Linked DNA regions of Arabidopsis thaliana. The protein of the gene in region 1 interacts with the protein of each later gene in a pairwise test. Each region holds a gene or a part of one and is shown on either strand. Other genes may lie near its edges. The genes, in order: AT2G27930, MYB6, NAC036 and NFXL1.

The links.
Region 2: the proteins of AT2G27930 (region 1) and MYB6 interact in a two-hybrid assay, tested with the Arabidopsis thaliana proteins (one large-scale study listed by BioGRID).
Region 3: the proteins of AT2G27930 (region 1) and NAC036 interact in a two-hybrid assay, tested with the Arabidopsis thaliana proteins (one large-scale study listed by BioGRID).
Region 4: the proteins of AT2G27930 (region 1) and NFXL1 interact in a two-hybrid assay, tested with the Arabidopsis thaliana proteins (one large-scale study listed by BioGRID).

Annotation. Positions count from the first base shown.
Region 1 is NC_003071.7:11,889,060-11,896,283, reverse strand, and holds AT2G27930 (PLATZ transcription factor family protein), read right to left. Parts: upstream 4,188-7,224; 5' UTR 4,042-4,187; exon of another isoform or gene 3,927-4,041; 5' UTR 3,916-3,926; coding exon of another isoform or gene 3,834-3,915; coding exon 3,408-3,833; coding exon of another isoform or gene 3,315-3,407; exon of another isoform or gene 2,949-3,314; coding exon 2,796-2,948; 3' UTR 2,556-2,795; downstream 1-2,555.
Region 2 is NC_003075.7:5,989,152-5,995,772, reverse strand, and holds MYB6 (myb domain protein 6), read right to left. Parts: upstream 2,866-6,621; 5' UTR 2,755-2,865; coding exon 2,492-2,754; intron 2,183-2,491; coding exon 1,735-2,182; 3' UTR 1,515-1,734; downstream 1-1,514.
Region 3 is NC_003071.7:7,403,496-7,410,277, reverse strand, and holds NAC036 (NAC domain containing protein 36), read right to left. Parts: upstream 3,368-6,782; 5' UTR 3,156-3,367; coding exon 2,999-3,155; intron 2,916-2,998; coding exon 2,647-2,915; intron 2,563-2,646; coding exon 2,158-2,562; 3' UTR 1,885-2,157; downstream 1-1,884. Other genes in the region: AT2G17043 (uncharacterized protein), read right to left, coding at 836-1,078; AT2G17036 (F-box SKIP23-like protein (DUF295)), read right to left, coding at 5,096-5,143, 5,259-6,425.
Region 4 is NC_003070.9:3,331,169-3,341,120, forward strand, and holds NFXL1 (NF-X-like 1), read right to left. Parts: upstream 6,917-9,952; 5' UTR 6,777-6,916; intron 6,391-6,776; 5' UTR 6,324-6,390; coding exon 2,769-6,323; coding exon of another isoform or gene 2,757-2,768; exon of another isoform or gene 2,696-2,756; coding exon 2,621-2,695; 3' UTR 2,427-2,620; downstream 1-2,426. Other genes in the region: AT1G10180 (LOW protein: exocyst complex component-like protein), read right to left, coding at 7,213-7,480, 7,571-7,707, 7,879-8,067, 8,154-8,660, 8,744-9,761, 9,908-9,952. UniProt on the Arabidopsis thaliana protein: Mediates E2-dependent ubiquitination. Confers resistance to osmotic stress such as high salinity. Promotes H(2)O(2) production. Negative regulator of some defense-related genes via an salicylic acid (SA)-dependent signaling pathway.

The DNA.
Region 1 (7,224 bases):
CCATATCAAAGTTTTTGGGTAAATTGTAAATTTTATTCTCCAAATGACATTGAAGGGAAGAAATTTAAGTGGGCTCGCTTGATCTCCAGATCTACAAATGATCATGAGTTTTTTGTTACCTGCAAGATGATTCGAAATATCAATGTAATAAGTCCTAAGTATTATAATGGATTCTATGTTTTGGATGGAGATGAAAAACAAGAAGAAGAAACATATTAAAAATTTTCCCATCTTGGTTATTTTATTTTTCCTCATTACATAATAATATTTATACTATTCACACACACACACATATTTAATATATTTGTTAATATATTTAATTCATTATATATTTTTCCTCATATTTGTTAATATATTTAATTTCATTATATATATTCTTCTCTCATATTTGTTAAGATATTTAATTTTATTGAAAAAAATTTCTCTCATTAATCTCAAGTGTTAGTGTACCATCCACAATGAATCCAATTTATTTCTTTGGAAGCTCACCATGTCACGGAGACCCATAAAATACATATGTTTGGCTCATGAATGGATCAAATTAATAGTCAAAGGTCAAGATCAATATAAAAAATTCAAATAGTTAAGTTCAATTCACAAATTAATTAATGACCATGAATAACACGCTAAGAGAAGACAATTTTTCTCTCATCTTAGTCCACAAAAACAAGGCTATTTCAATGGATCCAAGTTTCTTCAAGGATCTTGAATCCCATTGGAATATAACAGACGGTCCTCAAGAAGGTTGCGGTATTGATTTCATTTGTCCAAAATATCTAAAGGCAATCTACACTGGAGTCACAAGTTTTTTGCACGCTCGTTCAAAATTCTAGTCACAATCTCCACTTTTTCATTTTGATGATGCATTTCAGGAATAGTTTTCTCCATTGTAATCCTATTATCAGCGCAGTATTTTATAAACTCACCGCAAATGTACTCTTTACCATTATCAGATATTAGACACTCAATTTGAGATTTATCTCAACCATACTTGTTCTTCATAAAGTAAACTTCATACTGGAGTCATCAATGAAAGTCACATAATAGTGTGATACTCCTAGCGATGCAACATAAGCAGGTTCGAACAAGTTATTTTGTACTAGCTCCAACTTCTTAGATTTCAACTTCCTACCATCACTCAAAACCTAACCCGTTTCCGCTTTCCAAGGATGCAACTTTCATACATGTAGTGATTTAATATCTTTAAATTTGGAGATTCACCATTTGTTACCATGAAATTCATACATTTCTCGCTCATATGCCTCAATCTATAATGCCACAACTCAGTTTTGTTTTAGGCATTTTCGGCAACATCAACTATATATATCTTCATAGTTAGTGGTCATATAAATAGTGTCTCTTTTATAGCTTTTTGTACCTGTCATGGAACCCTTTGTCACTATTCAAGCTCCACAACCAACATTGATATCGTGTCATGTATCATCAAATTGTCCAACAAAAAATAGATTTCACATCACTTTCGGACATGTCTAACCTTTGTGATTTTCCATACAAGCTCATCTGACATCTTCAGGTTAATGTCTTCAACACCAACAATGTCCAAAGATAATCCATCTACTAGAGATATCTTCTCATAATTTTGGGCAACATAGTTCTCCATTATGTCCTAGGGAGCATTAGTGTGGAAAGAGGCTCCTGAATCAAGAATCCAAGAATCGATCTGACTATAAGCTGAAGAGATCGATGCTTCTCGCAGTGCGATCAACAACCGCAACATGAGCTTGACTTCCTCTTGGAGAATTATACTACCAATGCATTATGCATCAATTATTACTTTTGTACAATTCCACAATTCTCTAATTATTCTCGAGAAACGACAACACGTAATTCATAATTAATGTTATAACCTAGTTTTTTCTTAAAGTGCCATAATATATTATGTAGAACGTGAAGGAAATTAAGGTCGATGCGTACTAAAATAAGACCATCCTTTACGTAAAATTTTACCACTTAAATTATTTATGTAAATAAGTGAAAGTTTCATTTTCTTTTTTAAGTAACTGTACCTTTCGAATACCTAACGCCTACGACAAACTATTTTAATTATATAACAGCTTAGAATTAATGTCGAAGAACATTTCATGTGTCTATACAAAACATATACACATTCATGTCCCTTAACCATTTAGATATTTTCCCAAAAAAAAAGAAAAGAAAAAAAAAACCATTTAGATACACAATTATTGATCCCTAAACCCCACACAATTTCAGTCTAAACTAAAATATTTAGTAGCTAGATGGATATAGAGACAGGTAACTTCAAACCACCACATCGATTAGTTATTAGATTATCTACTCGGAAATAAAGTATACAGTATATCTCCACCGACATTCTCATAGTCTAACTAATGCCTAAATTTTCATGTTATTCCTTCCTTCCACAAAGAGTCTTTTTGAACTCTTAATTTTTGTATAATGTGTTTTAAAGGTAAGACTTATATTTCACAAAAATTAATTAGTATATCAAATAGAGTCCATCCTACAATCCTACAGTATAGATATATGTTATACAATTAGCTAGAAATGTATTTAATGTTTTACAAAAAAAAAATATAGGGAAATTAGGATTTTCTTCTATACAAATTGTTGGTTTTCCATGTGAGAGGATTGTGAGAAGTGAGCTGGACATTGTACAAATTGGGAATATATAAATACACCCACCCAATACGCATATACTATGCTATGTTTGGGTGGACCATTAACTGATGATTTTAAAAAGATAAAAATAAGTTAAAGAAAAGTTTTATTTTATTTCTTGAAAAAGATTGATTAAATTAGGAGGCAAAAGGAGCTCTATGAGGAATGCCTTTTCGTCGCCTAGAATTAGAGGTATGAGTTGGAGGATGCGTGCCTTTGTGCGTTTCTTGTTGTCTTTCTTTACGCAATCTTTCTTCTTCCTCTTCCTTATTCTTCCTCATTCCTTCAACCTGACATTTTTATTATGATCACATCATACATTTCCGTTATGCAAATGTACCATATACTTTTTTTTTGAGCAAAATGTACCATATACATATATACAAACATCTAACCTCGTATATATTTTCTTAAGATACATTATATGAGGCAAACAACATGTATTAAGCGAGTTTGAATATAGTTGATTCAATGAATTTACCATACAAGTAACTAAACATTATACGGTGTATCCTTAAACCGATTCCTCATTTTATATCGGACAAATAAATGCGAAGATATTAGTAATAATGATGAAAATATGATAAACCAATTTTGTTGGTCCAGTTGTAAAGTGCTCGTTAGATAGATTGACTTATAACTATGCATTCGTTTTTCTATGATATGAAGTTTACAGGTTTTTGCTCATGATTTATCCATCCAGCTACAAAAAGGAATTTTGCATTGAGAAAAGGTGTAGGAAAACGAACCTTGCAACCCAAGGAACAGAAGCGAAAGGGATCAAGAAGGGTTCTGCAACATGTCTCACAGAAGTAGGACATGGTTTTCGGAGTGGAGGAGGCGGCACCATGGGAGGAGTTCTTAGGCTGAGGTCTCTCGTTTAAGAAGAGAACCCTCGCGCTATTGATGACATAAGTTTGCACTCCTCTTATGTCCAATGCATTCTCTATCTCCGATACTCTCACCACATCATGATACGACGATCTTCTTATCTGTCTCAATGTTAATGATAAAGAATTGGATTGAGTCAAAAGTGATATATATATATATGTGTATGCATTGTGTGTTGAGAAAATGAAGGACCTGAAGGACGGGATGATCAATGTGAAAGGAGGAGCGGCAGTAGAAGCAAAACGCAGCGTTTTGACAGGAGAGACAGAACATGTTGCACTCATTTCGCGGTGTCTCGCGATGTCGAGGGCAAATGCTGAAGAAGTTTGTTCTTAAGAGACCTTCGAGCCATTTCGGCTCCTCCATTAATCTCTCTCCTGTTTTGTTTTTCTTAGACAATAATTACAATATATACAAAAAGGGAAGAGCGAGACAAAACCTTATGAACAATGTAATAAATTACGAAGAACATGCTCTTGCCATTTGCATTACCTTTATGAAGATGATCAGTAGAGGGAGAGAGAAAGGGTATTAGATGATTGATTTTTGAGACAAGAGGAGGAAAAATCAGATTTTAAGGGTAAGAGAGAAAGGAAGATATAAATTTTATTTTATTGTTGATAAATGAAGATTTTATGTTTTTTTCTTCTTATTTAGGATTGGTAGATATCTTTTCAATTCTTCTCTTAATTATTAAATATTTATTGTTAATAGTTTATTGGGGGAGGAAAGGGAAAGGATATATAATTAGATATGATGTTTGGTTAAGGTTGATTCCTAACCGTTGGATGAGGCCATTGAGTAAATGAGTTTGATGACAAAATTACAAGCTAATTAAATGTGTATATAGATCAAAATTTGTTCCAACTTTGACTACAAAAATAACCAAAATATTAAATGATAATACTTTAAATTTAATATATATATATATGAAAATAATTAAATTCAAAAAATGTTTCTAAAATATATTTAATTAACATTTATGATTTGAATAATAGATTTCTCGAACTATTGAAACGTGTACATCCAAAAGAAACACACATTATCAACATATGTCAAATTAAAGAGATCAAAATTTGTTCCAACTTGGAATTTAATTATAACCAAAAAATTATAATGGTAATACTCTAATTTTGACATATCTATATCAATAAATGAAGAAGAATATATATATATATATATATATATATATACATATATAATTTATGGTTTACCTAAGAAATTCTTCAAACTATTGAAACGTGTACGTCCAAAAGAAACATACATAAATTATCAATATTTTCCACTTGGTATTAATCTTTTGGTTTGTAAGGTTGATCTTTTTGTTCGAGCCAACATTAAACTACATTAGATGGAATGTTGGCTCGAACAACCACATTATTCAACTTAGTTTAAAGAGTTTCAAACACTGTTTATCCCCTCATGCAAAATTTGAATCTCTTTTCTAGGTGATGACATTCCTCATTTCACTATCTTTAACCGATACTGCTTTTGAGAAAGATTACAAGGAGTTAACTCGGCTGATGACGGCCACGTCTGATGAGTGGTCTGGTCTGTCAAAGGGTAAATTTGTCTATCATTAGCATGGTGTAGAGAGAACCTTCTAATGTAAATCTTTGACTCTTTGTAGTGTCAATTGTAAAATTGTATATGAAATCCCTCATCAAGTAAAACTGCATGAATGATTTGTTAGTTGAGAAGATCGATCATTTGGAACAAAATAAAAATAAATTAAAATATTACAGACAAAAAAAAATATTACAAACACGTAAACTAAAGTTCACACTAATCGGTGGACCTCAAATATGATGGGGGAAAATGCCCGCTAATTACTCTTTAGGGAGGGTGCTAGCCTACGTGGTTGGGCGTGCCGTTTTGAGATGGAGAGCATCCGATCAGGACCAGTGTGTCAGTGATTGAGTTTGGAGCCCATTTCTTCTTATTCCTTTTGAGTTAGTTGATATTTCCCTAAGTGACTTTTTCTATTGGGCATTCTAATGGACCTGGTTTTGAACCTTTTTTGCCTTCAGTTTAGTATGCTTTTATTAGGTTAGGCGTTCGGGTATTCACATATAGAGTATAGATTGATTGGTTCTATATATGCGAAAAAAAATTAACTGACAAAAAAAATTATGCGATGTCTTGTGCTCGAAATAAAGAATAACAATTAGAAAATACGAATCTAGGGTTCAATCCATGGATAATTACTTGGAAAAATCCTTTACCTTGTAGAAATTGACATGCTATTTTATACAAAAAGAAACATAAGATGTCAATTTCTTTGTGTATAAAACATGCAAGAAAATTATTTGTTATAAAAAATATAGAAAATGTGAATTCAGATGGGTTTGAATGTGTTTTGGCCTGTCACCTTTTTCGTATGCTAACTTAATTTTTTTTTTAATTTGTTTTTATAAAACAAATATGGTTATAGTTAGCCTAATTAATTATAGTTGCGTCGTTATTATTATTATTATTTAGTAACAACATAATTTAAAATCGGAATGTTTTGTGTGAATAGATATACTATCTTGGAATTGAAAACTTTTATCAAACTTCTGACATGAAAGCTAAGTTTGGCCATGTACGTATGAGTTAAGATATTAAATTGCCTGAATATTCAGATGTACTTTTTTGAAATTTTATTTTCCTCTTATCTGTTTTTTAGCTCAAGAAAGTGACGCAATACTGATAGCCAACATGTGGAGTAGTTGTTGCATCGACCTTACGTTAATTCCCCGAATAGCTAAATATCAAATTGCTTTATCATCTCTTACTATTTGAGAATAAATTCAGTTACGGTATTTATTAAAAAGGATAACGGACTTACGCATGAATCTATTCGTAATCAATGAGTGGAAACCACTTTTTTGGTGTCATAGTTGCATTCGTGCCGGCCGCATCATCTAAGAAGCAAACCAAGGAGATTGTTTTTACTACTACGTTGCTCTTGCTGTCTTGCAAAAGATCAACAAGTAAATATCCACCCATAAACTCAGGCCCGATATCCAAAATCCAGTATAGACACTAGGCAGAACACTATAAGTAGCAATCTACACTTCATAGACAAAAAAGGCTAATCAAACCTAGTTTCGTCTTAAGAAAAGTAATAATCTAAAACAACACTCGCTCAAAAACAATAAATAACATAATTTACGTGATGTTCTTCTGTTTCCCTCAAATCGAATGAATCCATTTTTCCTTGAGTGGTGGAGGTTCATCGGAAATAACCATACCGATATTTTTCATGACCACAATACTTTATTCCGTCGTACACGTTTATCTACGATCTAGCAATCAATCTACGAAGCCAAGAAACAAGAACAGAATGTGGATGACCAAAATTTTGTGCTACAAAAAAAATTATCCAAAAATATCACAACCTATTGCTGTCAGAAAAACAAAACAAAAATATTAATGTTCTCTTATGGAAGAAAATATTTCTTTTACTTTTTGGTTAATAATTACAGTAAGAATTTAGCTGACATTCTATCTTTACTAGTGAATTTTCATTATATAATATATAGTATATATATACCAAATAAGGTTGAACCAATAGCATTGACTTAATGACTTGACACTCCATAATATATTGCTTCCTATAGTGTCTTTATCCCTCTCAAATTTTCTTTTCTCTCTCCCTCTCCCACAATCACAAGATAGGAAAATTGATCC
Region 2 (6,621 bases), on another chromosome or scaffold:
TCTCCAACCCTAGATTTAGACAGACTCGACCCAATAATCTACAAAAGTGGAGTAATGATGTATCTTTCAATCTAACCGTACCTAATCGATCGATGCCTGCAATTGTTGAGTAACAGATTAGGTTAGTTCTTAGACTATAGACTATTGAAATTGTAAGTCTTTGGTTCAATTTTGTTCCGTGGAATAAGAATTATGTTTAGTAAATGATCTATAATTTTAGAGTCCTGGAATGAAGATTTTAATGAATCTCTTGCAAATTCATGTAAATATATAGTCCTATATACTTCAATAGTTTATCAAATATGGTTAGTTTTGCAAATGATCCTAAAATTAATTAGACTTAGCTATTGATAGTTTACAAAATTATGAAGACTATAGTCTATGTTTATGTAGAAGATGTAAAAAGGTATATCAATTCATATAAAATAATAACTTAAACTCGTTAGAGAATTTTCTTAATTTTATTAATATTAAAAATGAGAGTGATAACTTCTTTTTTAATTTCCAGGAAAAGAGGAAGTCATGTTTGGCTGGATCTCACCTAAATCTCACATTCCCATTCCTTCTTCCTCCTCTTACGCACATGATTCTCTCTTTTGTTTTACATTTATATTATTGTTTCTTTAATTGTTTAGATATATTTATGCGTATGAATATGATAATATCTCTACGAAACCAATTCTTGTTTTCTTTTTTTTTCTTGTTCTGACGTCGACCAAAGATTTGTCTAAAGACAAAACATTTTGCTTTGCCTTAAGATCATATTGATAAATGTTTTTATCGAGACTTGGCTATGTCAAATTTGTTTCGGATAATCTATAAGGTTATAGTATTGATATATAAAATATTTATCTTATTAAAGATTAGGTAAAGTCAATTATTTTTTGGTACACAATATGGTTTTAATGATAGATTCTGCCACCTACCTGCCTAAAACATGTCACATGTCTCCTCCCTTATCTTATTCTCTTATTCTATATTTCTTTATTTAGTAATCAATTTGTATCTCTTCCAATCAGCTGCTTCTTCACATTCCTTTTCAATGTTTACGTCTATAGTAGTTCTTTTAATTAATTTCGTTGGCACCAAATTACGCTACAACTATAAGTATTAATAGAAGTTCTCAATTCTAGTTTTTTCCTAAACAATAAAAAGTTCTACAAACTAGAAGTTTGTTTGTTGAGATGAGGACCATGTGTCCTAGCACTATATATAAACTAACACCGAAAACCTAATGAAAAAAAATAGTTAACATAGTGAACGAGATATTTGTTGAAACTTGCTAGTTGCAACTATATGGTCCCCATTATAACCTAATTCAAGTTTCTAGAAGCTTTTGCTTCAAAAAACATATAAAAACTATGATCTATACCAACATGTAAAAATGGATAACGGTTGATCCATAAGAAAGAGTCCAAAAGGGACCAACCATGTTCACATTTCACTCCTACATTTATACTTCTACATTTTATAACAATATTGTCAAAATAAAATTCAAATTACTCATTTGCATTCCTAGACAATGGTGTAATATTCTTATATATTTCCATAAAATTATTTTGGAAACCATGTATCGTTTTTTTTCTTTTTCTTCAAAAGGTAATATGAACAAAAACTAAAACAAAAATACCAAAGAAACTGAAGTAAAGAATTTCTATATTTATCCAAAAGGACTCAAGCAAAAAAAAAAATGAAGTAACAAAACCCATTTTTTGGGATTTTTTTGACAAATTATTACAACAGTGACAAACGCGCCTCCATCACCGGGTCGCACCACGGTTTAGAATCAGCCGATGACCCGACTCCGACTATCCGACCCGACCAGGATCCAAACCCAAGAGTTAAATCCAAATTCAGCTTTATATGTCCTGAATTATCACTATAATAACACTCCCCATTCTGCCGGAGATCCTCGTCCGTCGTCGTGCCGCTAGTCGAAGCTCCGTTATCGGAGGAATTTTCCGTCTTCGGTTTAACGGCTAAATTGGAAAAAGAATACTCAACGGCATCGTTTTGAATAGGAACAACAACTTGAGACGACACCGTTTTGGATTCGTTAATCTGACGATGAGTTTGTGGATCAATACCGTGACTAAGAAGCTTCCTCTTAATATGAGTGTTCCAATAATTCTTTATTTCGTTATCTGTTCTTCCTGGTAATCTTCCAGCTATCAATGACCATCTGCAAAACAAAACATTTCAAATTCATATGAATAACAATAACAGAGGAAAGCTTTAACAAAAACAGAGGAAACAAAAAAGTGAACGACTCTGTTTCCTAGAAAGTTGAAACTTTTTTCCTGGGAAAGATCAAAGAAGAAGAAAGAGCAGGAAAACAAAGTGACCCAGTTTCTATTTTCTCTCTGTTTCCTAGAAAGTTGAAATCTTTTTCCTAGAAACAAGAGTAGGGAGAAAAAAAAAAGTGACTCTGTTTTTCTATTTTCACTCTGTTTTTTTAGAAGAAGAGAAAGAGAGGAAAAAGTTATCGTACTTGTTACCGAGTAAGCTATGGAGTTTGATGATGATTTGATCTTCATCATCAGTAAAATTACCACGTTTAAGATCAGGACGAAGGTAATTAATCCATCTCAATCTACAACTTTTACCACAACGCAACAATCCAGCGGATTTAGGAAGAGAACGCCAACAACCTTCACCGTGATTACGGATATAATCTACGAGACGTTGATCTTCTTCTTTAGTCCAAGCTCCTTTGTTTGTGTGAGCTTTTTCACAACAAGGAGATCTTCCCATGGTGAATGAAGAAGATGGTGTAAGAGAAGAGAGAAGAGATCAATTTGTGGGTTATATAAAAAGGAGGAGACTTTGACTAAGTTTGGTATATGTACATGTGACTATGTGGAGATAAAGTGAGGCTGTGCTTTGCTGTGTTGTGTGTGGGGTAATGGAGATTAGGTAGGTAAGTAAGTAACCTTCTTTTCTCTTTTTTTCTTGTCTCTTTACTTTTTCTCCTTAGATTTTGGTTTTTGTTTTTTTCTTTCTCTCACTGTTCTTATAATTTAGTTGGTAGTTAAGAAAAATACAATGCAAAAATAATATTTATCAAACATGTTATCTTTTGGAAAAAAATGTCATTAAAATTCTCAACTTATTGAAAACTTTGATTTAAATCTTGAACTCTCGGCGAACGAAACAAATATCAAACTTATGTTACTTTCCAAATAAATACCAAACCTTCTTGACTTTTCAAATAAATATCAAACTTTTGTTGACATGACTATATTAGGCATGATGTTCAGTAGGTTAATAGACCTTGAACGTTTAGTGTGTTAACATACTCGTTGATTGAAAACGACAACGTTTACTCTAACAATAAAACGTCATCGTTTTTGTCATAACGGCTCAATTAAATCTCCAGTTTCAAATCATATGGGGATTTAGAGATAGGAATTTTGCTTGATTTAGAGATCTTAGATTGAATTTGGGAATTTAGTTCAGTCATTATTACAAAACGACGTCACTCTGTTGTTGGAAACAATAACGTTTTGCATTAATGGGCCTCTGTTAACAAAAAAATTAACTCCGTTAACGGGATCTAGTAATTTACTTAACAGTGTGTCTAATATCGCCAGGTCAACAAAAATTAGATATTTATTTAGAAAGTCAAATATTTATTTTGTTTCGTCGAGAGTTGAGGATTTAAATCAATGTTTGCAATGAGTTGAAGATTTTAATGACATTTTTCCCATTAATTAAATTTAAAATTAACAAAAGAACGACGTCGTATGAAGGAGTTCTGAATTGTTTTAGTTAAATACAGTTTTTTAGTTGTTCCTGAAGAGAAAAATAAAACTGTGATTATTTCTTGACAAAAAATGTTTTTATTTTGCTTATCTTTCAATGGAGTTTTACATCTTTCTTTTATAGACTTCTTTAGAACAATCTAGAATCCTTGACAATGCTATCTTTAATCAATAGCTATTTATTGTGAATTACTGCAACGGCAGCGACTGCAACGGCTTGAATTTGTTTTCAAGTGTTATTGTCTTCTTCTCCGTATTAGTGACAGTCTTCTGTTTTGCAGGTAAAGAGCTTTTGGTCTTTATCTTCTTTTGCATATGTTGACTGGGCTTCTGTAGTGGGCTTTGTTGAGTTTGGGCTACCATGTCTTTGTTTTTGTCAAAGCCCGTTCTATTTATTGGGTTGTCTTCTACACCCTCCTTCAAACTTGGCGTGGGTGAGACCGGTGACGCAGACACGCCGAGTTTGGCTCTAAGCGTGATAAAGGGCCGTCGCGGTAGTGACTTGGTGAAGACATCAGCAAGTTGAATAGTTGCTGGGATGTGTTGCGTTTCTATGAGACCGAGAGCCACACGTTCCCTGATGTAGTGAAAGTCTTTATCGAAGTGTTTAGATCGTTTATGAAGAGCAGGATTTGCAGAGAGGTAGACAGCAGATAGGTTATCACAGAACACTCGTGTAGGTTGATGTTGAGAGATTCCAAGATCTCGGAGAAGAGAGGAAATCCAAGTGATTTCTCGAGCTGTATCGGAAAGAGCTCTATATTCGGCTTCTGTTGAGGAGTGAGAGATAGTGGGTTGTCTCTTTGCAGACCAAGATATCAGAGTAGATCCCAAGAGGATGCAGAAACCAGTAGTGGAGCGTCTAGTGTCCTTGCAGCCAGCGTAATCACTATCGCAAAATCCCGAAAGAACAGGGTTGTGGTGTTTTCTGATTGGAAGCCCCATGTTGATAGTTCCTTTCACATACCTGAGTATGCGTTTGAGAAGGCCAAAATCAGAGTTGGTCGGAGCGTGCATTCTTTGGCAGATGAAGTTCACGGCATATTGAATATCCGGTCTTGTGATTGTTAAGTATTGTAACTTGCCAGCTAAACTCCGAAAGTATGTTGGCTCTTCAAAGGGTTCTGAATTGAGGTCTTCCAAGTGTTGTGGCAGAGGGGTAGGCATAGGGTTGCATTCTGTCATGCCTGCTTGATGAAGAATGTCGGAAGCGTATGCGTGTTGATGTAAAAATAGACCATTGTTGTAAGATTCAATTTCTATACCCAAAAAATAGCGAGGAGGCCCAAGATCTTTCATCGAAAAGCGGTTGTTGAGAGCTTGAAGAAGTTTATCCATGAGCAGTTGATCACTTCCTGTGAGGAGTATATCGTCGACATATAAGAGGAGTATGAGACTTTGCCCATTTTGATGACAAACGAAGAGGGAAGGATCAGATGTGCTGCACTCAAAGCCAAAGTCAAGAAGAAAGTTGCTAAAGGTGTCAAACCAGGCTCTAGGCGCTTGTTTTAGACCATAAAGAGCTTTGGTGAGCCGACAAACGTGATTAGGCTTGTTAGGATCAACAAAACCAGAGGGTTGGAACATAAACACCGGTTCTTGTAATTCTCCATGGAGAAACGCGTTGGACACATCAAGCTGTTTGAGAGGCCACTCATTTGCAGTAGCGGTATCGAGAACAAGACGTATAGTTGCAGTTCGAACAACCGGACTGAATGTCTCAAGATAGTCGACTCCTTCTTCTTGATCAAACCCTTTGGCAACTAGACGAGCTTTCAACTTATCTATGGTGCCATCAGGTTTGAGTTTAGTCTTGAAAACCCATTTGGATGTCAGAATATTCATGTCCTCTGTTGCAGGAACTAGAGACCAAGTGTTTAGCATGTGAATGCGATCTATCTCATCCATAACTGCAGCGTTCCAGCTAGGATGCTTCATAGCAGTAGTAATAGTTTTTGGTTCATCAAAAGAGGATTTAGAGACAATGAGAGCATACCGGGGGTTTGGCTTCTGAATTCCATCTTTTGATCTTGTAATCATGGGATGGAGATTTTCTAATGAGCCTTGTCCTAGTGCATTGTCTTCATTTTGATCATTTAGTACGGGAGCTACTTCGTGGTCAAATTCATCATTTGATTCAGTTTCCTCATCAGAGCTAGTTTCCATATTAACATTGACGGCTTCCTCTGTCTCATAATTCATCATTGGCTGATTCTCACTTGTTGCCATAGGAGTCATTTGTCTTGCAAGAGGTTGTAATTGAGAAGAAGGCACTGAAGGTGGTGTGAGATCAGTATGTTGCCAAGCCTGTAGTAAGGTCGTCTGGTATTTTGGAACCAGACTGTGGTACTTTTCTTTAAATGGGAATTGAGCTTCATCAAAAATGACATGTCTAGAGATGTAGACTTTACCGGTAGGAGGATACAAACAGCGGTATCCCTTGTATTGGTTGTGATAGCCAAGAAACACGCATTGCAACGAGCGTGGATCAAACTTGTTCTTTGCTAACGGTCTCAAGCAGGGGTAGCAGGCTGTACCAAACACTCGGAGAGGTGTATAATCAACTTTTTGTTGAAACAAAGTTTCATAGGGACTTATTTCCTTGAGGACAGAAGAAGGCAAGAGATTACTGAGATAGTTGGCAGTGAAGAAAGCTTCTACCCAGAACTTGAGAGGTGTATGACTGTGATATAACATTGAAAGCCCAAGCTCTACCAAATGTCTGTGCTTCCTTTCGGCAACACCGTTTTGTTGCGGTGTATATGGACAAGATATACGATGATGAATGCCATGCTCTCTAAAGTGTTCTTTTAATTTGTTGCTTGTAAATTCTCCCCCTCCATCGCTTTGAAACTCT
Region 3 (6,782 bases), 4.5 Mb from region 1:
CATTTTCCATCTAACTATGAATATCAAACCAATTTCAAGATGGAATAATTGTATTTTATATTTATCTAATACATATTATGCTATAAATACAAATTATTTATCAAATATATGTATTTGTTTTTAAATAAAATTATTTATAAACTAAGATTGAACAAAATTCTGTTTGCAAAACTAATCTTATATTTATGTGAGAAAGACTTTATACATTTAGAATAATTTTACAAATATAGAAGAAATCTTAACATATAAAATTAATTATTTGAAATTTTAAAATATATATTTATGGTAAGTATATTTAATATTTGTATATGTTTGGTTATTGATTTTATTTAGTTTTGTTATTTTTAATTAATTGCATATATTTCTAATTAATTATATATTGTTATTTTTACTATATATACATTATGTCTGATATAATACTTAAATATTAATGTAGCTCAATGGTTGAGAAATATGTCTCTTATTAATGATACCACATGATATGTCGAAATAGTAAACGTTATATTTCGCTGCCATAAAAGAAAATATTTCATTGCCAAAGATTAAAGAGTGGAACTTGAGGGTAAAACAGATTTATATGAGAAGATTTTGTATTCAATATATATCTATGCTTCATTTACAAGTAATTATATTTCCTTTTTATACAAAATATGAAAGGGATTGTAGTCCATCTTCAAAATTTGAATGATGACTCTAGGGTCTGAACATCTTCCATCGTCAAGGTCTTCTTGGATTGGAATTCGGAGTCAACCCTAGATAATTTGTTTGCTTGCTCTTCACACGTAATTTTCATTTTCTTCATTAGCTTTAAGGCGACTGACCATCTGCTAAAATTCTATGATACAGACATGTAGCTAAGTAGAGAATCATGCAGAGCAACTGTAATAGCTTCTGCTTGTCCAAAGACAGCCAAATTTTCATTGTTGTTATCTTTGGCTTGCGCAACCGTCAAAGACTCTTGTACTTTGACGATGACTGTCTTCTTGGTGAAATTTCTTGAGGCTAAGTATTTTTTGACCTCTCCCAGTAGATCTCCGCGCTTTCTTTCATAGAATAGGTTGGATCTCCAAAACACCATGTCCAGTCAATACTTATATGCACCTTCATGAAAGAGAGACATGATGATATCACGGTGGCTATGAGGCTCCAATATCAAATTATCCACATTAATGTCTCTGCAATGTTCCCCTCCATAACTCATTTCCCTTATTTGGTAGATATATGACTCAGATCTCATGCATGAAAGTGAATGTGAATTGTCGAACGCGTTGGTATAGTTCTATGTCCAATCTAGCATTGCTTGTCTCCCTAGGGAAGATGATAACAGCACCATTCTTGCATGTTTCCGGATCTTGTCTGCATTCTGCACAGCAACCACATCCCAATACACATTGATTACATAAAACCCAAGATGAAGCCAAATCCACATTATGAAATGCAAATAAGGATAATTTCTACAGTTTTCTAGTATGATTATAGGAATGATCAAACTTTAGTTTCCACCGTCCGTGTGCTTACGTATTATGTAACCATCCACTACCCCCTAGAGACTTAGAGACTTCACAAATTGTTTCATTCTTCTCTTGTAGTCCTGACTCCTGACAGATTAAATTTTCTAGTAAGCTAGCCATGGATAAGTCCTAGTAAAATCTGCCTCTAGGGTATATGTCCTCTGTTTCTCGAAAACAGAGAATTAGGCCGTTAGCTTCACTCACCGAGAGAACCGTCCAAGATCAACCACATTTGTTTACGGATGGAAACAAGACAAGGACCTTCACGAGTGAGTCACCCACATTGAGCAAATTACGCAGAAGAAGAAGTGGATGATGGAGAAATTAATAGGTCTACGGTGAGGTCAACGGTGGGATCATCCCTTCTAAGGTCCCACCAAGTCAGTGTAAGGCCAAGATACAATCCTTTTTCAGATCAAAACAAGAGCTACGTCCATTGATTCCACATACGTAATGATAAACTCAAAATCTATCTTGTTATATGTATGAGAGAAATGATCGTCAAATATGACTATAAATAGTGTTACAAATTTTCTTATGTTACAAAATTACAAAAGATACATAAAAGTTTAGTAAATACTATTTGGTACAAGCTCTGTTTTTTACGAGAGTAAGAATATTTAAATGTATTTGTTCTTTACATATCCTACCAATATATGTTAACTATTGGTGTAAGATTCTGGAGCCATGGGCTTATACTCAACAACTGGTCCCATTCTACTCCTGGTTTTGGTAATTGTAGCTCTGGTAAACTTCCAAACGGTAGCTTCAGTGATGAAGAAGGTTCTTTGGTCTCTGCTTCTCTTTGTTTCTCTTCGGTTTTCGCGTTTTCTTGATGCATTTGGATCTTGTTTGCTTCTTCCATAGCTATTACTTGAGGAGCACGGAACGAAGTCATCATGTTTTCTTCTTTACCAACGAAAGAAATCGTCTCGGAAGACGAAAGAGGAGAGTTAGGACATGTTTGATTCATCTTAGCTTCCATCTCTGCCCTTTGCTCCAATACTTTCAATGAAGTAGCTTTTCTATATATCTTACAAAGCACAACATCCTACAAAATTGATCACAAGATGAGCAACAAGTTTTCTTGATTCACATAATGGTTTCAAGACAAAGCTCTTGGTTTTTAAGGTACCTTTGGTAAGGAGCAATTATCGGGCATCCGAAACTCGTTCATCACCCAATCAGTCTTGCTTCCTCCTGGTGCTCTTCCTCTATAGAACACAAGCGTCTTCTTGAGCCCTATAACACGTTTTGGCTCAGACAAGCTTATGATTTTACGATCGGATCCAGTTGCTTTCCAATATCCTTTTTCAGTTGTCCTGCTTGGCCTCCCACCGTTCCCATGCTTCCTTTCCCTTGGTACAAAGAAGTACCATTCCCTCTCCCCGATTCTCGATAAACCTGTGATCAAAATTCAGACTTTCAATACACGGCTTATAGAGGAAAAAAGAATCTTTAGGGAAATGAAGAAGCCATGTACTTACCAGGTAAGTCCCATGGATCATGACGGTATATGTTAAGGAAACCAATGACTTCGACACTCGATCTCTTACCGTAAACCATGTTCTTGAGGTAGAAATCAAGAAGCTCTTCCTCAGTCGGGTGGAACCTAAAACCCGGGAGCTCAATATCTTTTCCCATCTCTCCCAATGTCTAAAAAACACTTATAAAGGTTTGGTTCTTTTTAAAGCTGTGTAAGTGAAAAAGTTGTTGGTGGTTATCACTTAGGTGAATCAATACACATTTATATACAACTAGGACCGAATATGTTGTGAAAGATTTTCTTTGTGGGGCAATACTTTGATGGAGAAGACTAAGTCAAGAGAGAAAAATAAAAATACTGTATGTGGAGGCATGAATGATTTAACATATTGAAATTTGAAGTCTTGTGAGATTTTTTATAATGTGTTTTATTTTCTTTCATATTTCTTAAAGGTTTGTGATGTTTACTTGAAAGAAGAAGAAAGGTCTTGATCAAAGTGGATGGAACCCACACGGTTTTATCTTAAGAGAATTAGAAATGGTCATATGAGGATTGGACCAGAGCTTGGTTCTTCTGTTTACTCCACTTTTTTTCTTCTTCTTTTTTTTTTGTAATTAATTAGTTTGATCATATTTTAGTGTGAAAAATGAATATAACTTTTTTGATTGTGGGACTTCCACCATTTTGTTTAATCTCAGATTGACTTGGGAAGTCTCCTCCAAAGACTTGAAGTTATTTGTCTTTGTTGGACACAACCTAAAACATAAAACAAATATTTTAAAAAATTTCTATAAAATTAACTATTTTTTTTGTTGTAGTCAAAACTAAGAAAAAAACTGATGTGGATATATATAATTAAATAAAATGTAACATCATTTTTTATCAATAATATGAATGGACAAAAACAATTATTCAGGCTTTAAAATGATTTCATTTTAGCTTTTAAATATTATGTGTAATCTAAAAGAAAAGCATGAACTCTTAGCCTCTTACATTAGTTTTATAAGGTTATGTACTAACGTGTTTTTTATTTTAGCCAAATCTTGTAGTACCAATAGTTTGTGTTGTTATCTCACCGGCTTCTTATTTTTCTTTAAGGTGGTTTTAATGTTGGAATCTTTAATCATTGAATCAACATTCTGCAGTTCAATAATAGATATGTTTTCCCATACTACTTTCTAAGTGAGAGACTCCCAATATATATTTTCTTAATTTGGAGCACCTCCATTTAAAGAACTCAACACGACTCAAACCTCAATTTCATGGTACAACTAAGAAAAAAAAACTCTAATATTTCTTGTATTTTCAATAAATGTAAAGTAGATATATGTAGATATAAAATTTATAGATTTTAAATCGTTTTCTTTGTTACCAAAAGACCAAACAATTCACCAATAAAAACAAGTGAGTTCGACTAGTGGGGCTAGGAAGAATATATATGACAAACATATGAAAATTTCTCGGAAACTTCAGAAAAAGCTACTTTCTTTTAGTTTTTTTGTCTTCAAATGCCGAACATTATTCAGTAAACAGAACACAGCAATATTAACGAAACTTCCCAAAATAAGAAGCATCTAATATACACTTTATAACCAAACTTGTAAATTGTAAAATGAACTTTTTAACCATTAAAGTGATTGGTTATTAAAAAAAAAATCACCACATACATGATAAAGCTTTTTTTTACTGCAAGGTGACTGTATTTCACTGGTTGTGTCATATCATACAAAATTTTAATGCACTCTTCTCTGTTTCACTGAGAACTTGTGAATTCAAGTGATTAAATTCACAGTTACAACTTCATTTGCATAGCCAATCTTTACAGTTTTTCACCAATCAACACCATCTTAAAGTAAAGCAGGCTTCATCGAAATAAAGTTCTTGTTTTAGTTGGGACTTATTTCTCGTAACTAATTCGATTTTAACACAAAATCACTTTTCCAGTTTTCCTCAAAATCTTTGTATAGCGGACTTCGGTTTAGACATAAGAAAACTTTTGAAAGATGAATATACAAATTGTTTAGGAAAAAACAAGAGTTGGAAAAATACATATAAACATTGTCATTCAAGTTGAAGTGTCATCTCCAAGGTCTTAAACTCAAGATTGGGATTGTGATGATGTTTCTCCAGTATAATTTTCAACACTCTGAGACAAAAGATATTTGAGCATAAGTTAGTGAGACAAGCGGTAAAAAAGAAGTAGTAAGATGCAAATGTAAATACACTCTATTCGGGTGGTTGAGAGATTGGAAACCACTGACCTCATGAGAAGTAGTAATCCATGGAGGTGGAGGCCAAAACAACTTGGCATATTCAGGGAGTTTGTTTACCAGCTCTGTTTTCCCACTCCTGAAATCAAACACTCCCAAGTTTCGATCATCCATCACCACCAAGGATTCCTCATGCGTGTAGAAGAACACGAAGCTTCCAGTTCCCACGCAGCGAGGTATAATATCAGCAGTTGAAGCGGAAAAGGTGGAGTCATCACCAAGGAAAAACATCTTATCCCCAAGATCCTCAACCTCAACCCATCTCTTCTCTCTTTCCACTAATTTAAAGAATTTAAATTTGTAACTGACCGTGGTCTCATTAAAATACGAATAGAAACCCCCTGTGAATTCCGGTTTTTCATTCAGGCAAAACTCTATATCCACCAGAAACATTTCACCACAAGATTCAATCAGAAACTTCTTGTCACCGCCGCCAATCAAAGGATTAGCGGCCAATGTCAATTTGAAAGAAGAGTAGTCAACAACTACAGTCCTCCCATTGTAGTCGATAGCAAAGAAACGTCCATCGAACATAATCAAATCTTGACAACGAGAAGGTATGTAATCATTGATCACAGTCCATTCTCGATCCCAAGACCTAAACACAGCTAACTTTCCATATTCAAGAATTGTAAGCAACACGAATTTGTCATCATTTAGGTACTTGACAACAGTTTTCCCCAACTCCAACTCTAAAGCTGTGTGTCCAGGGACACAGTAGTAATCAGGATGATAGAGCTTGACTTCCCGACACAATTCACGAACCGTAAACTTAGACATATCGAAAATACGAGGTAAATGCTGAGGAAAGTAGTTTCTTGAAGAACTCAACGGTTTGAGAAGGGTCATCTTACGAGATACATATATGTTATCCCAAACCTTGACAATCCATCCAAACAGATCCGCCTCGCATTGCGGTTCATTAGGCTTGATAAGTAAAATACTCTGGTGCGCGACGCGGAGGATTACATTGGAGAGAAAGGGTTTGTCATCAGAGGGGAAGAACGGGAGGTTATGTGCCCAGAGAAGGCGCTTTGGCCCCGCGGCAGATCGCCATGAAGAACATACAGAACGGAACTGTATGAGATCAAAGGAAGATTCTAGACATTTGGAGATCAGGTCTAAGAGATCCTTTGGCAGTGTTGCCCAATCCATCATGGGTGAAACGAAAAGCTTTTTTTTTTCTTCAAATTTGATCGGTTGACTTTAATAGAGTTCAAAGGTGGACAAGGTCAAGCATGAAAAATCACTTTTTGAAGACAAATTTTTGAATGAGAAAAGCAGACATCCAAGATTCTCTCTTGAATAAAAATCTTAAGAAGACAAAAGAGAAATCAATACCATTAATCTGAAGAAACCTTATAGGGACAAGAACTTTCACTTATTTGCTATCCAAATCAAAGGACTAGAGCAGATGCACTTTTAAACAAACTAAAGCTCCAGAGCCATTGCTTGAAATAAACTATACACATTATTCAAGACTAGAAACTTCATGGAATATAGCTAAAGATACAC
Region 4 (9,952 bases), on another chromosome or scaffold:
TCATTTCCAGAAGGCTAAAGCTTTTCATTGACCAAGCGGTTCAGGCAAATCAGGTTGGGTTCATTAAGGGTCGGCTTCTATGTGAGAATGTTCTTCTTGCATCTGAGTTGGTGGATAATTTCGAGGCTGATGGAGAGACTACTAGAGGCTGTCTTCAGGTGGATATATCTAAAGCCTATGATAATGTCAACTGGGAGTTTCTCATCAATATTTTGAAGGCTCTTGATCTTCCTTTAGTCTTTATCCATTGGATTTGGGTCTGTATATCCTCAGCCTCCTACAGCATAGCGTTTAATGGAGAATTGATTGGTTTTTTCCAAGGAAAAAAGGGCATTCGGCAAGGAGATCCAATGTCTTCTCACCTATTTGTTCTTGTGATGGATGTGCTATCTAAATCGTTGGACTTGGGAGCTTTGAATGGTCTCTTTAACCTTCATCCTAATTGTTTGGCTCCCATCATCACTCACTTAAGTTTTGCAGATGATGTTCTTGTTTTCTCAGATGGTGCTGCTTCTTCTATCGCTGGAATTTTGACTATTTTGGATGATTTTAGACAGGGTTCAGGTCTTGGAATTAATAGGGAGAAGACTGAGTTGCTTTTGGATGGTGGTAACTTTGCTAGGAACAGGAGCTTGGCAGACAATCTTGGCATCACTCATGGCTCTCTCCCCGTCCGTTATCTGGGAGTGCCTCTTATGTCTCAGAAGATGAGACGTCAGGACTATCAGCCCCTGGTTGATCGAATTAACTCGAGATTCACCTCTTGGACAGCTAGACACCTTTCCTTTGCGGGTCGCCTTCAGCTTTTGAAGTCTGTTATTTATTCTACAATAAATTTTTGGGCTTCTGTCTTCATCTTCCCCAATCAGTGCCTGCAAAAACTTGAGCAAATGTGTAATGCTTTCCTGTGGTCTGGAGCTCCAAACTCTGCTAGAGGAGCAAAAATCTCTTGGAACATTGTGTGCTCTCCTAAAGAGGCTGGCGGGCTAGGCTTGAAGCGCCTCTCCTCCTGGAACAGAATTCTTGCTCTGAAGCTTATTTGGCTTCTCTTCACCTCTGCTGGTTCTCTATGGGTTTCCTGGGTTAGACTGCATCTCATTGGGCGCCGGAACTTCTAGGAACTTAATCCTTCTCTGTCTGGCAGCTGGATATGGCGTAAGTTGTGCAAGCTACGACCTTTTGCTCGTCCTTTCATCATTTGTGAGGTTGGATCCGGGGTGACTGCTAGTTTCTGGCATGATAATTGGACTGATCATGGGCCTCTCCTTCACCTGACTGGTCCTGCTGGTCCTCTCTTAGCCGGCCTGCCTTTAAATTCGGTTGTCAGAGATGCTCTCCGCGATGATACCTGGAGGATCTCTTCTAGTAGAAGCCGCAATCCGGTAATCACTTTGCTTCAACGAGTTCTTCCTTCTGCTGCGAGTCTAATTGATTGTCCGCATGATGATACTTACCTTTGGAAAATTGGTCATCATGCACCGTCAAATAGATTCTCTACAGCGGACACTTGGAGCTACCTTCAGCCCTCTAGTACTTCAGTTCTGTGGCATAAGGCGGTTTGGTTTAAGGATCATGTTCCGAAACAAGCTTTCATCTGTTGGGTTGTGGCCCACAACAGATTACACACTAGGGACCGGTTAAGGAGATGGGGCTTCTCTATCCCGCCCACTTGTGTTCTGTGTAATGACCTTGATGAGTCTAGGGAACACCTTTTCTTTCGGTGTCAGTTTAGCTCAGAGATTTGGAGCTTCTTCATGAGAGCCTTAAACCTCAATCCGCCTCCTCAGTTTATGCACTGTCTGCTTTGGACCTTGACTGCTTCTCGAGACAGGAACATCACGCTCATCACCAAGCTCCTTTTCCACGCTTCTGTCTATTTCATTTGGCGTGAGCGCAATCTTCGCATTCACTCAAATTCTGTTAGACCAGCTCATTTGATCATCAAGGAAATTCAGCTTATCGTTAGGGCTAGGTTGGACCCTCTGTCTCGGTCTTCCCGCGTCGTCTCTCAGCCAGGCTCTTCTCTTCTTGCCTCGTGGTTTGGAGTGTTTCAGCGTTCACCTGTCTCTGGTTAATGTGGAGTTTATTTTGCAGGTCCTCTGTTGGCTCAGCGTTGTTCTCCTTTTGTTTTGCTGAGATCTTGTCGTCCTTGGGTTCTCTCTGGGCCTCGTCGCTGGGATTCAGGTTCTCGGTTTTTTCTTGTTCTGTTAGTTGTTGGGCCTGCGTGCCTTCTCTGGGCCTGCGTGCCTGTTGTATGGCCTTCTAAGCCTTGTAACCTTTTTCGTTTTATTGGAAATTTATGAAAAAAAAAAAAAAAAAAAAAAAAAAAAGAATATGACACATAAAAGAGTTTTTTTTTCACTATTCCTAATGATTTCAGCACCTAACCGTTAATTGCAGAGGAGAAAATGATTTCAAGATAAAGAGTACTAATGAATGAATAACCAACCTTAGTGTTGCATCATTATGTCAAGAATAAAAGAGAAAAAAAAAAGCGTTACAAACATGCCGTTTCACAATAACTGAAGTTACTGAACAATGGGATGTTTTTTTAGTTACTACATAAATAAACCAAACGCACGCCAAAGATGCCAAAACAAAAACGGCACGTCGTTGGCTATCACCTAAGCTTTGAAATGGACTCATCACAGCATACGCACACGCATACAGTCTCCATTATATACGTCTGAACAATCTGCCGTTTTCATACATCACAAAGAAGTTGAAAACCAATCACAGTCGTTGGGTATATGCTCTCACTCACATACCTTCTCCCAGTCATCCACCACTTCTTCACCGGAGCCTTCCACCGGTTGTTTACCGGTAGTTTTTGAACTACTGCTCTCTTCTATCTGAGCAATTGGCTCCAAAGTGGATGTGCTGGCCTTCTTGGGCTCTAAAACACTCCAACGGTTAACCGAGGTAACAATTGGAGAGTTGCTCTTTGCTGATCTCAGCGCAGAGGCTTGAGCATCTGTAGATGATCCTCCAATGGGGGAATCTTCAGCTCCCCAGGAGTCATCACTCTCCTGAATCACAGCTCTCCTCCATGGATTTCCTTTGTCAACATCCCACGCCGAGCTGCCAGGTAATTTTCCCCATACATTATTAAGTGATGGAGATTGCCCGCCGCTCTGGACAACCACAGCTCCATGATATACTGAACCGTGCTCAAGCCTCCTCATGGCAGTGGCAGCTCGGGCATGGTCGTGGAACACCGCTAAAGCATTCTTGTCATTCAGCCAAACAAGCTCACATTCACCCCCAAATCTCAGTACCAAGGCGCTGATATTCGCCTCTCTCGGAAGATCCAGAAAAGAAACCACAAGTCCAGGATCCATATCCACCAGCGAATCATAGAACGGTGGGTGTGGCCCTCCTATCGAGATAGCACCACCCCTAGCTCCAATGATCCTTGTTGGCGGTTTCGATTTTGCTGTTACGTGAACCACTGTAAACCGTTTTGGCTCCCACCCTGCGTTGCTAACACCAAGTTTCCACCTCTCAGCTATAAGTCGAACCGTGTCTCGTTTATCCTTCTGCATCGGGCAGAAGATATGGACCTTAAGGGCACTTGTGCTTCCTCTTGCTTTCCCAAGTACCAAGAACTTGCAGCGCTCTTCAACAGCCAGTACCCACTTTGGATCACGCCTATAAAGGTCTGAAATAATCTCTGTCATAGCAGAATTCTCGCTGAAATGTAATGCCTCCAGATTTGGGGGAGTTATATCAAATGCATCTTGAAGAACCCGCTTACGCTCCAGCTTCGCACACTCATCATCACACGAAAGCTTTCTCTGCCCGAGGGGGATACGGTTTCCGCTCGATTCAACAGGCTGAAGTGGAGCTGGAAGCTTCTGTAAAACAGAGGCTTCATCATAGGCCGCACAGTAAACATTAGAACCGTTGGCACTTCTTCCCCCAGCATCACAAGGGACCGTAGCGGTTATACGACCACATGAACAAGTAATTGTGACTGAAAATTCACATCTTAGGTCAGGGCAAGGCGCAGAAGGATGGCAGAGTGCTGCACAAGTGTGTCTGCAATCTGTTCTAGGAGCACCACATTTCTGTCTACACGTAACACGCATACCTGCTTCAGATTCATTGAAGCTGTCACAAGGCTCCGGGTGACAAGTTCTGGCACAAGCATGCATGCCACAACGCCTCGTCTTTCCACAAATCTTGGTACATCTAATGTCTTTCAACCCACAGGGTATGTTTCTGAGAACCACATGACCACCAACGCACTTCTTTTCCACAGGGGTAGAACAAGGAGGACAATCTCCAAAATGGCATCCATGCGTATCAGAATGGCCACAAGGCTGAGGAATCGGGCATGGAAGCTGACAGCTAGGAACAGGTGTCCCACATGATAGTGGAGGAGGAATCGAAGTTCTTCCACAAGCACATGTAAGATCAGTGAAGATCATCTCGAGACAAGGAGGGCAATGTCCACTGTGACATAAAGATTCACAGGAATGCTGCCCACACCTTAGCTTCTTCTGACAAGGTATTTGGCAGACATGTGGGTCCCAATCGCCAGATAAATCATTCTTCTTCCCGTTCAAGAGAGGGCAGCAACGCTCGCTACATCTATGTCTCCCACAGTTCTTCTTACGTCCACATGGCTTAGCGCACACAAACTTCTCTGCCTCTGAGGAAGTTGTTATGTAGCATTCCACAGCCCTGGATGTTGACCCACACCGGCATTTCTGGTTAACTTGGACTAAACAAGGCGGGCAATCACCTGCATGGCACATCTCATTGCAAGTATGTAACCTACAAGGAAGAAGCTTCCTACATACATTTGAACAAGAAGGAATTGGGTCCAAGCAACTCTGCCTGATCTGTTCTTCTAAACGCGTATTCCCACAATAGCATGTCTTAACTCTACTGGGCAGTAAGTCACAGTCCCCGCAAGGTCCAGGATGGCATACCTCGGAACAGAAATGATTACCACATCCAAGAGGCTTCCCACAGTTAAAACTGCATGAATAGACACCATCTTCTGCTTTCAATTCCCCCTTCACATTCATATCACCGCAAATGACAGTCTCCACTTTTTTCTTGCAGAAACATGTGGCATTTACCAGTACCTGACAAGGATCACAAGGGCCAACATGACATGTCCTTTCACATTGATGACGCCCGCAACTAAGAAGCTTATCGCAACGCTGCCCACAAACAAGATCAGATCTCCGCTCGGAGCATCTAGTAGTAACCATCTTTTTCCCACAAGGACAGCTACGAGGTGGAGCAAAGGCTTTACAGGGAGGACATGGACCAGGATGACACTGCAAAACACATACATGAGGACAAAGATCCTCTTCAGTCGTCTCAGCAGGTGCAAACTCTTTCTCCAGCGGTTTCCCACATGGTTCCCCGCATGAGTGTGGAGTGAGATATGGGTCAGACGGTGGATCTCTTCTCTTTCCACAAAAGCACCGATAGGAAATCTCTTTAGATGATGTCAACTGTACAGATTGGCAACCTGGACATCTCCAGTTATCACCTTGGTTTTTCTCAGCTAGCAAATCAACTGAAGTTGGTGCTCGAGCCCACCTCTTGATACAGTTGATATGGAAGATGGAATAACAGCTGGAGCATGACCAGATATTGGCAGACCTCCCAACCTTGTCATAACAAATCATACACTCAATAGAACTCTTGACAAGCTTCTCCTGTAACTCTTGAACAAGTTGAGGCAAGTTTGGGTCTGTCAACACAACATTCTCCTCCTTCGCTACCCTTTTCCCCTGATTCACAGGCCGCGTCCTAGATGCAACTCTTTGGCGATTATCTGGCAGAGTTCCAGAAGCATTATTCCTTCTTTGTCGATTAGGTGGAGGTGGACCAATGTTATCACTCCTTTGGTGCTGGTTCTCAGGAGCATTATTTCTTCTATGTCGATAAGGTTGAGGTGGACCACTGTTATCACTCCTTTGATGCTGGTTATCAGGCGCATTATATCTTCTATGTTGATTAGGTTGAGGTGGACCAATGTTATCACTCCTTTGATGCTGGTTATCAGGCGCATTATATCTTCTATGTTGATTAGGTGGAGGTGGACCAATGTTACTACTCCTTTGGTGGTGGTTATAGGACGGAGGACCAGAAGCGTTATGCTGCCTTTGCAGATAAACAGGACGGGATGCAGAACCAGCATCAAGGGTTTCAGAATTTCTATCTGTATTAGGAGGAAGCAAAGGCTCATTTACCACCACGCTCGAGGTAGATGAGTTTCTAGGAATCCACGTTTGCTGATGATTGAATCGATGAGACCTATCATCGCTCCTATCTCGCCTGACTTGAAAGCTCATATTCTGCCTTGACTCCACAAACACAGAACTAGATCCTGTACCCGTCACTGTTGGAGCAATGGTGCTTCTGTACAAAAAGAAAAGCAAATGAGAAACATTCAGATTCTAGCAATGTCAAACATTGATGGCCCAGATAAATTCACCACACACGAAAATACGAGCAAACCAATCTACGTAACAATAAAATCTTACACAGCTACAACGATGTTGAAATTAACTAAAGCCAAATCAAACGAATCGAAAATTGATAGCAAGACGCCTAAACTATTCCTCCTTCTTTGGGATCTAAAAAAGGGGGTAAAATCAAAGTGCCCTATTTTATCATATCTAAGAAATTTTGGTGACCAACACCAACCAACACACAAATTTTGGCTTCGATATTGCTGAATCAAAGAGAACGATAAAACAAATGATTAGAAGCTCACAACCAAAGAGGGGGAAAAAGTTTGGTACCTGACAAGAATATACGAAAGCGTATAAAGAAGGAAACAATCGCCGGAAGAATCAAATACGCAGGAGATTCCGATTAGTCTCCCTTGTTTTCTCAGGGAGAGAGAGAAAGAGACTGTAGGAGAAAATGGAGCGATGAGGAAGATTATATATAGCGACTGAAAGTGATAGACCGCCTTGCTCCCAAAGGAAATAAAAGATAGAGAGAGAGAGTCGCGTACGACTTTTCTTTTTCACCGGCTTGTCTGAATTATTTTATGCTTGACAAACCCTCAAGAACCGCCTCATCCCTAATGGGCTAACAATGGGCCTATACTAATTGACTTAAACCAATCTAAACCAGTAATTTAATTTGCAGATGATTTCGGTTAACTTTATATATATTAACTTGAGAGTTTTGAGAGACTTGACTACAGGATACAAACTACAAAGAAAGTGGTCAAGACTCAGAATCGGTGAAAGATGGACTCTCTAGGTCAGCCATGCTTGCAGAGGCAAATGACTCGAACGAGTCCACTGTGGAGAGTGAAGATGTATCTTCGGAATCTGAGTCGTCATCCATCTCAGGGAGGACGATGTGATGATCGTCTTCTTCTTCTTCTTCACACTCATATTCTTCCGGTTCTGAAGCATCCTCAGACCCCATGAGTAGCCTGTTGATAGCTGACTTGGCGGCTTCTGTGAACCACTCTGTCTTCGGGAGTGAGCTGGTGAAAGAGAATAATACACTTTTTAGGTAATTCGTTATGTTGAGACCGAGTTGGAAGAAAATTCAAAAAGAGTGTTGTTTCAATTACCTTTGTGGGTTGATGCCTCTTTCCGAGAATATGTTGATGGCTCGATTGATCACCACTGATGCATGGTTCTGAACTACTTTAAATGGATAACCTGCAAACCTGGCTATCTCCACTGTGAAGTTCATGTCGAGGATCAACTGCAACACGTGACAACAAAACTTCAACTTTCAACCCCAATCTTCTCAAGAAATGAACTTCAACATCAAGTTTCAATTGTTTCCCATTTCAAATTTTCAATCTTTGACTGCTGAGCCTGAGATCAGAGAATAGCTGAGGTATATAAGAGTGGTGAAAGAGAGTGTTTCTACCTGTTGCAATCCAGATGGCTGAAGTGGATTTGACTCGTCCTCGAATGCACTCCAAAACTCCTGCTCGTTTGATAGCCAGATTATAACCGTCTCTGTTAATCTCGCTAGTAGAATCTTTTGCAGCTTCTCTTTACCAAGCAGAACATCCCCAGCAATTATGGCCAACTGTTGTAGCTTAGAAAACAATGCCTGCATAAGAACAGACACAGATGATTCTGTGTGCTAAAACTTATAAACTGGGAACTATAAAACTAGATCAAAGAAGAGGGCGAGACCTGAAACGGTAAAGACGGCAGATGCAAGTCATCTGGTGTTTCGGTTAAATAAATGAGTGCGTCTAATCGCGTTAGTCCTTCCCTAGAGTAGATGAAGCTCAAGACAAACTGCAGACAGAAGTAGTTTCTGAGTTTGTCAAATGCTTGAACCATATGGCGTTTCCATTCTTTCAGTTCCGGTGCAGCACTACTGTTTAGAGCGGCACTATTCTCACCTTCTCCTCCGCCATTTTCAATCTGGAGTTTCCAGACTTTAACAAGTGATCTTGGTAAAAGTTCGTCAAGTATTGTAAACGCAGCTCCAAGAAGCGCAAGCTGCTCAGAATCTGTCTCAGCTCTAGCGAGTACGGTATTATCTTGGAGCTCAGGTAGACCATCCTCATCTGAATGGCCAGGCAAGGCTTTGATCAGAAAGTCGATGTATTTATCATATAGTTGCAATATCCTCGTTAGTACACTCTCACCAAAGTGTAACACAACTAGGTGTGTTAACTGCTCAAGTATGTCCTGAAAGAACAAATAAAGCTTCTATAAATTTATGCCAACAGAATCAAAGAAAATAGTAAGATCAGTGTTCAAAATCAACTTACTTGCACAATTTGCATGAATCGAATGCTACAATCAGTCATCATAGTATCTGAAGCGATAGCGAATTCAGATAATATTGTCACAAAGTCAGAGGGTGATTCCAAGCCCTCATCAGTTTCATTCAAGTCAAAGATAACCCTTCGAGCCCGTCTAAAATTCAACTCCAACACTTCTTCAACATAAGGTCGGAACAGCACCAAAAATAGCTTAGACAGAAATAAGCCTTGTGGTTCCAACACTTTGCAATAGTTAAGACAATCTTGAAGACATATACTGGCTGCCCGCAATGCAGAAGCTGTTTCGGAAGGAGAAGCGTTTTCTTTAACCAACCGCACCAAATATTCAACTTCCCTCTCTGCCCATTGAACAACTTTGTTGGAATATGCGGGATTATCATCGTCACCAAACATGGCTGCGGATTCTTTTGTAGCCACTGAGATGTTAGAGAAAACAAGCTTAGAGAGAGTAGCAGGAAACGTGTTTGGGCAAGTCAAACATGAAGGGAGAAAGGCCTCGATTCTTCTGCGGAGGCTTGTGGCGTAAAACTTTAGAAGCAATTGGTGAGCTGAAGGTCCTTTTCCAAGTCTGATTAACCCAATCAATGCATGCTTCAATTCAGCTACACAAATCGAGGGTTGTTTAGCGATCCTAAGGAGCTGATCCTCAAGAACCGCCTTTCTTTCCATAAAGGCAGACTTGTAAGAAGACATCTCGACTGATCCTTTAAGATCTGGACTGCTTCTTTCCTCAGCATCCATTGCCTCCAGTGCTTCATCCACTTTATGTTCAGCCAAAAGAAGGTCAATTTTCTCCAGGAACTCAGACTTTGGATCGGTTACTTCATTAGGCAAGGGGTCCTCTTCGACTTCAGCGTCATGTACATCACCAGGTAATCGATTCCAATCATCCATCTCACGGCAAACTCCAGCCATCAGATCCTGCACAAGAATCCCCTGAGAAGAAATATGTTTCCGTAGCTCAACCAACTCATGCTCCATCTCCACCGCTTCTTCAGATATTCTACACAAACCAAGCATAAAGAAATGAATCTCAGAAACTAGCACAACGGATACAAAGAAACATGACGTAACCTTTGAATCCGGAATTGCAGATTCAAAACTCGCAAATGAAATAACAAAGAGAAGTTAGTAGCTTTTATACATTACCTTAAGAAAGCAAGGTACTTGGTACGCATATCACCGCACATATTT